Linked DNA regions of Tribolium castaneum. Each later gene encodes a partner of the first gene's protein in a complex. Links are inferred from orthologs where the notes say so. Each region holds a gene or a part of one and is shown on either strand. Other genes may lie near its edges.

Evidence for each region. Proteins that work in one complex are often made in the same cells at the same time.
Region 2: Taf4 (region 1) and transcription initiation factor TFIID subunit 8 share a complex: the UniProt entries of both Homo sapiens proteins name them as parts of the TFIID basal transcription factor complex. The link is inferred for Tribolium castaneum from reciprocal best matches to the Homo sapiens genes TAF4 and TAF8.

The regions. Positions count from the first base shown.
Region 1 is NC_087394.1:35,639,777-35,644,197, forward strand, and holds the start of Taf4 (transcription initiation factor TFIID subunit 4), read right to left. Parts: upstream 2,866-4,421; 5' UTR 2,215-2,865; coding exon 1,615-2,214; intron 1-1,614. Other genes in the region: wcd (U3 small nucleolar RNA-associated protein 18 homolog), read right to left, coding at 3,649-4,421. UniProt on the Homo sapiens protein: The TFIID basal transcription factor complex plays a major role in the initiation of RNA polymerase II (Pol II)-dependent transcription.
Region 2 is NC_087396.1:13,180,027-13,183,439, reverse strand, and holds transcription initiation factor TFIID subunit 8, read right to left. Parts: upstream 1,851-3,413; 5' UTR 1,756-1,850; coding exon 1,617-1,755; intron 1,569-1,616; coding exon 1,282-1,568; intron 1,232-1,281; coding exon 1,081-1,231; intron 947-1,080; coding exon 660-946; 3' UTR 632-659; downstream 1-631. Other genes in the region: angiotensin-converting enzyme, read left to right, coding at 1-282, 331-631; tou (bromodomain adjacent to zinc finger domain protein 2B), read right to left, coding at 2,647-2,803, 2,858-3,166, 3,216-3,413. UniProt on the Homo sapiens protein: The TFIID basal transcription factor complex plays a major role in the initiation of RNA polymerase II (Pol II)-dependent transcription.

The sequences.
Region 1 (4,421 bases):
ATTTACTCAACAAAACTAGAAGAGATTCGGCATTTTCGTTGTACAGCTTCGTGTACGTGTTTCGAGTGAACAATCTGTGTAAGGTGGTTGGTTGTTGTTTTGTGAAGCTGTACAATGGAAATAGCCTCAAACATGAAATTTTGCAGTAGAATGGGGGGGTTTGTGGGGTCCGAAAGCGTTAGTCCTAGCTTGGATGAAAATTAATCCCAATACTGACATGACATCCTGATTCTGCGACTTTTATTTCCAAATAAGGAACGAATTATTTTCAAAATAATTCGTTCCTTATGAATGAAATAAAACATTTTTAATAAACAAATCAGTAACCATTCACTCATTAATTCAACGTCACTTTCTTTCGCATAGATAGCAATTTGCATTAAACACGCTGCCATCGTTTTTTATAACATTTTAAAAAAAATAAGAATTAAATAAAAAAAAATTACACGAGCATGAAAATTACATAACATAACGTGTATTTAATCACAAAGTAGGGATATCAACACCTTTCCCTATATGTGTGATGCTGTTTATGTCCCTGTGGAGAGATAATTATTATGAAATTTTCTAATTTTATAATCGTTCCACTTTTCAATAATTACTCCAACTCTTATTATTGCATCTTATATTTTATTTTAGGATGTTTGATAATTACTATCCGTTTACAATTCTGGAGTTAAAAATTCACTTGCGTGTACAAAATAGTGTTTCTAAGAAAAAAAGTCTTCTAATTGTTATCAAACAAAATATTGGTACATGAGGGTCACTGGAATGAATCCTCTGTTAAAATCTAAATTGCAACAAATAATTTCAGTTTTAACAAGGTCATCATTTTGTCTCATTTTTACATTAGTTTTGTTCAAAATTTCAATTGGGAGTGCATAATTTTTGAATAATTTTGTACAAAAAAATCTATGTTTACTGTATGAAAGACGCTAAATTCGCCATTAATGGTAATGTCACTATAACTGAGAAGAAATGTGTAAAAGTTTAGCCAACATTAAATACTTTTTATTACCTATTGAAACAGCATGTCTTTATGACTACACAGGGTGAAAGTACGAAAGAATTTCTTACTTTGCTGTAGCTGTCAAATCTACATCGCTTAAAAGAGTCTTGAGTTAAGTAAGAGCAAGTTACAATTTTGCAGGAACGTATTTAATTTTTTTTTTAAATCTAAAGTCATTTTTTTAACAATTCCTTAAATTGTATTCATTGCTAAGTAAAATTTTAAAAAACAGTGTCATTAATTCGGGGCCCTTACGTTGGTTTCCTGGGGGAAACTGGGCTTTATTTTCAAGAATCCAATACTGTACTGTTTTGAGTGTGTCTTAAGTTGTCTACCTACAACACAACGAAATTATTATGGTAGATAGTTTGTAAACTTGTTGGACGTTGTTTGTTTTGATGGTCACATGATAATAAACAGTACACCAAGTACTGGCTTGAAAACATAATTTGTCCTAGAATGAAAATTTGTTTAATTTTTTGTTTTTTTTTTAATGTACGCTCAGTAGATGTCGATAAGGGGTTATAGGTGTTAGCAAGCATCTTAAGACTGGGAGTTAGCAGACCCTCCCATTCGACTGTTGTTTTGAGTGTACACCGACTTACTGGAGCTCCTGGCCGGGCCCCGACAATCTGTGGTGCACTGAGCACGACACGTGCCGGTTGTCCTTTCTGCTGCTGAGCGGGAACGCCAGGCCGTACATTGACAACCTGGAGGTTGGAAAGGATGTTTGGGGACTGTGTACTGGGACTACCTACGTTGTTAGCTGGCGGGACCGAGGTGGTCACGTTCATGGGCACGGTGACGAGTCCGGGGGCCGAGGCGCCGCACGTCTTGATGACCAGCGTGGGCTGCTTGCCGGGGGCGGCCTGGGGCAGCGTCCCATTGGGCGGCAGCGCGACCCTCGCGTTGGGCAGCAGCGTCCCGGCGCCCGCCATGGCCTGCGAGTAGACGATCTTGACGGGGGCGGCGTCGGCCGACTTGGCGTCCGAGATGGAGTCGCCGTTGGCCACTGTCGAGTGCTTGGGGGGCCCGACGGTGCCGCCGTTGGATATTGCACTGTTCACGTGGTTCTGGGCCGCGGACGCGGGCGCCGTCGTCGACGACGTCACCAGCTGGTTCTCCAACGAGCCCACGATTGCACTCACGGCCGATTCGTCCACATCCGTACTCAGTGCTTCCTCGAGAAACTTAGCTGACGCCATTTTCCGAGACCCAACTGTAAACTGATGTGCGCATGCGCCCTACATAAACATGATCACGCCAACGGCTGCGCCGTCGACTCTTCACGCCACAAATGCAGAAAGGCATATGAAACAAAAGTCCGAATCGACGCACTTTTAACCACTTTACATGGCCCTCATCTTCGGCTGCTCCGAGTTGTTGCACGGTTTCGTCGGGGGCGGATTTCACGGCGACATCAGACACAGCTTTTCAGTTTCGTTTACATCGCGGAGTCGATCGCACTCTCGACGTTTTGCTAAGTCATCTGACACGTCATCCCGACCCGCCAAATTTGAATTTTCGCATTGCATTTCACATTTCCAAATCCACAAATTTACATTTCTTTAGAAAGTTTCTGCGCCAATTTACATTTAACAAGATGACATTTTGCGACGACCGCTGATAGCCCCGATTCCTTCCACGCAGCTCGCAGCTTACGTATTACGTCATGGGGACAACACTCATTTCTCATCTTAAATTCTCATTTTACCTCGAATTCTGGCACGAGGCACAACGCAACTTTCTTTACTTCATAGCTCATTTGCTGTTTTTTGTTGCTTGAGCAATATTTCTTAAGAGATTGTTTATTGCTAAATCTCATGACCTACAACAACCTTGCAACACCATACTGCTGTTTTATCATCACAAAACAAAACACTCTGGTCAGATTCCCGCTGTTTTTTTCAAATTTTGAACAAAATTACCAATAAAAAACTTATATTAATAATATAAGTATATTTTCTTATACGATAGGTATGGCCTATTTAATATTAAGAACAGATTTATTGATAAAAAATAGGTATTCGATTTATAAACACGTTCTACTCCTACTATAATTTCCATTTTGTTTGGTACTTTTTTTTTATCATCTCCCTTATCCTCCTTTTGCATCAAATCTTTTTAATTATAGGTGGTATTTAGAACTGTAACGCAAATTTTTAATAAAAATCTAGCACTTCTAGATAACAGCAGGTAATAGTACCCCTATCAATTTGATTTCAGGAGGCTTGTGTGGTTGATAATGTGTAGGCAAGGGGTTATTTAATCGATTCCGGTGTAAACTATAATGGCCTGCAATCAATAAATTAAACGTAGGTACAATTGAGTACAAAGCGGTTCATTCGGCAACTGTTGGAAGAAAAAAAAATTCACATATTACAAATAAAACAATAAAATTCTTAGGACTTAAACGATTTTATTTACAGGTACTAAAACATGACATCGGTAGTAAAAAATAAAAAAGCATACAGAACGTAAAAATTGATCAAAATTAACCACTTGAGGAGAGATGCCACTCTTCGGTATTAAAACTGACACATTATTTTAGCAATAGCCCTGTTATAATTTATAAAGCTTGCATAAATGTTACAACAGGTGGAACAGGTCATTTACCGTATCTAACATGTGTTGTTTGATTAATAACTTTTGTAGTGCTTCAAGGTATACAAAGAAACGGTCGATTTCCTATTCCCAAAGGCAACATATCCACTATTTGGCGAGAAATTGATCGCATTTACGTGTCCCAACTTGGTCTCGAACGTCGGGAAGTTGCTAAAAACAGTCCCAGACCCGACATGGAGCAATTTGACGGAATTCGGTATTTCGGCAGACGACAATGCCAAAATCTCCGATGTAGCGTTGAATTTCAAGTCGGTCACGCTCGTAGTCAAATTCATAATGGTCTTTATAGGTTTAGGTACTTTATTAATTAAAATATCCCCCACGTCGTACAAATTAACAACTCCTTGTGCAGAACCAGCCGCCAGAAATTGATTAGTGGGCGAAACCGCCAAAGTGGTGCCTTGCAGACAGCCCTCGTCCATAAACTTGTGCAAGACCCGTCTCATGCTCACGTCCCACACAGTGACTTCGCCACAGTCACTGTGCCCATAGAGAAGATTACCTTGGGGGCCGTAGGCCAGAGCCGTAACTTCATGGTTTTGCTTTATTGTTGCGACTCGTTCCTTTGAGGCTGCGCTAAGCAAGTGGATTTCGCCCCACTTGCCTGCAGCTGCGATTATGTCAAAATCGGGGAAAGTGATGAATTTTTTGAAGCTGGTCATGCCAGGGGGTAACGGGATTCTGGTGGTTTTGGCCGCCATTAGGTCGTAACTGAAGATGTGGTTCTGCCGTGACCCCAAAATCACCTCGTTACCGTTGTTGATAAACTTTGCACAAAAAATCGGGA
Region 2 (3,413 bases), on another chromosome or scaffold:
GCGTTATGAAATTTTTCAAAACGGGGTGCAAAACATGAACGCAGTTTGGTGGGAATTGCGCCTGCGCTACCAGGGATTAATCCCCCCAATCCCTCGCACTGAAAACCACTTCGACGCCGCTGCAAAACGCCACATTCCCGCCGATATTCCGTACATGAAATATTACGTCGCGCTTTTGCTCGAATTCCAAATTCACAGCTCGATGTGTTTTGCTTCAGGGCATGTGGGGCCGTTGCATAATTGCGATATTTACCGGTCGAGGGAAGCCGGACGCGTTTTATCGTAATGACTGTTCAATACTTGTAATAAAAATTAATTAGATATTTTTAGGGACTTGCTAAAAGTCGGGAAGGCCAGACATTGGAAAGAAGTGATAAAAATGTTAACTAGAGGACAGTCGGATCGCCTGTCTGCTGAAGCAATGCTTCAGTACTTCCAGCCCTTGATGTTGTGGCTCAAAGTACAAAATCGGAATGAAAGTGTGGTCGGATGGATGACAAGTTTGGAAGAGGAGGCTTTGTTCCAGCCATTCTTGTTTGCAACAAGCAACAAAATTGTGTTTGATTCAAATCTTGTTATATTCATTTCTATAACTCCGATTCTTATAAATAACTACATGTTGTATAAATAAAAAATTTAAACTTATAATTTAGTCTTACTTATGACACCTCCATTTCGTCCTTTTTAGGCAGCTTCGTTGCGGCCAAATACGGATTATCAATGTACCCATTTGGGTTTGTGTTTTCTTCACTTTTTGTGGAATCATTTAGTGTTTCTTCAGTCTCTTCTTCTTCTTTATTTTCAGCTTTTTCTTTCGCTTTTTGTTCTTTTGATTGTTGCATCATTTGACTTTTGTGGTCATATTCGAGGTCTTCAGGATCAAAAATTTGATCCTGGGGCAGGAGAGCGCTCAAGTAAGGGGGGTACGCAGGCTTACAAGCTATCACTAAAATATTTCAATTGCTATAGTGGGTATAAAACAAAAACGTAGTCAAGAGTGCTCTGCAACCAATTTTTTCCAGAGCACTATTGACCACCACTCACGAAATAAAAATTCCAAATAAAAAACGGACCACTTACGTGGAAAAATATTCGCCTCATCTGTGTCAAACAAATTATGTGTGGGGTTAGTCTTGGCAAGAAACTTCGTTAACGCCTTTTCTATGTCTTTTTTCTGAACTGCCGCTTTTTCTCTCACTGATTCGTAATCAATAATTGGTTGTTTGTGTGTCTGTAATAGAACAATAAAATATTTGACGCGCCCCAACAGCACAAACCTACAGGAGTGCGAACGTAGGCGTGGGGGTCCGGAAACTGGGGTAAATGCTGAGGGATGTAAGGGGGTAAAGGGTGCTTCGAGCCAGCTGGTAACATATTTAGCTGCTTCTGGGGCTGCTGTGGTTGTAGTGGGGGTAAAACCGAATGCTTCATGCCTTTTGTGTACACCATCAAGTCGTTGAAATTGTGCCCCATTTCCACAAATGCTAAAATCACGTCGGCCACCACGGGCTCCGAACGGCCCGACAACTCGCAGTAGCTTTTCGAAAGTGCCCCCACTTCGGTTAGGACTGCAAGAAAGTGTGCTTATTTCGCGAAAAAAGGGTTGAGGGGCTTACAGCACTGGATCATTTCTGTTAAAGTACCGAGGCTTTCTTTGTCGGCCGTATCGAAACCAGACTCCATTAGAATGCTGCAGACTGACGCTGCTAACATTTTTCGGTAAACGTTTACTTGCTGGGTGGTGGTTTGTTCCATTTTTTAAAGTTTAAAGCAAAGTTTGTTGTTATTTACGTTCCGAAAAGTTAAGGTTATAATAACGTTTGACAAATGACAAGCTTGTGTTTCTGACCGAATCACCAAAGAGCCGAAATTTAAACATCCATACGCGGGAATTCCAAAAATTTCCAACGTGTGGTTGGAAAACAGGGTAGTAGCGGTTGGAGAGAAATGAAAAAAGGCGACATTTATAAGTAAATATAATTAATATAAATATCTTACATTAAAATACATAACCTAGTTCTATGAGTTGCAGTTTAGCGCTGCAGAGAACTAGCCTACCAAACACATTATTTATTAATACATCCTTTCCTTTGAGAACTATGTTCAGCTTACATAAAAACATTTTGTAATAGGCTAGAGAGACATTTAATTTAATGTTGAGCGATGCAATTATGTGAAGAAATTTCTTTACATTTTATACAAACTCTTACTCTAATTTATTCACTGTAACTGAACCAGACTTCAAGTCGGGAAACTGAAATTGAGTTAGAAAAATAAATAAATAGAAACCACTGAACATTTAATGAACAAAATAGTTATCCTAAATAAATAATTAAATAAAAAAATACACAATTATCAAAAATACAAATTAATACAAATTGAGAAACCAACTAAAAATCACATTCTTGTTTAAGTCAATTCATTAAGTGATGCGCAAATCCAAGACTTTAATTGCATTCAAATAATTACAATTTCCGAACGATAAAAAGCTGAAGTATACATTTTTAAAGTCAATATCACACACTGGAAATACCTGTACTGTTTTTCTGAAAAAATTAGTTTGTATTCACACCTCATCGCAATTTAAACACTGTTTTCCGGGGGCCGCATTCTTCGATGGTAAGGTCTTTTGGGATAAAGTAGTCCTCAACTATTTGAAATACTCAGCTCGTTCCACCGAGCTTCGAAAAACTGGCGCATGCAGTGGCCTGCCTTTCCCACAGGACTGTCGTCCTCGTTGAACACTTCGCAGTTGTTGAAAATCTGTCTCACGTCCAGAACGAACTCCTCTTTGGATTTATAACTAGAAAAACGCCCAAATAACTCACACCATCAATTTTCAAGTCAAAACACCAACCTCACATCGTACAGTTTCTTCTTGATCGTCGACAAATCCATCGGCGTTTTGATGATTTTTTTGTAAGTGGGAAACTGCTTCGTATTCACCGGAAGCAAAAAGGGCCACGCGTCATCATGGCACTCCAAATCCTCCAGAATCGTCTTGCACGGCGCGAGTTCTTTGAGTAGTTTCTTCGAGATGCGGTCCTTCTTGCACGTTTGCGTGGACGGAGAGCCTGCGTTGCCGAGACTCGAGTTAGAGACGTCGCTTTGGTTGCAATTCGTTGCTTCTTCGTTCGTCGTAACGGAACTATGAGACGGTGCGGGACTGGAGACGCGACATGTTAATAAATAAAAAACGAAAAATTGAGAGGTACCTAGAAGGAGGATGGTCGGACAGTTCGCTATCTTTGCTAGACTTTGCGTGGTTTTTACGCATCGTCTTCTTCTGAGGCTTTTTCGATATGCATTTGGAACAGTACCATTTGCCGCGAGGAACTTTGTGCATGATGGGGTGAATGCAGTCGGTGTGGTAGGCGCGAGGACACAGTTCGCATAAAATCAGCCGAGTGCCA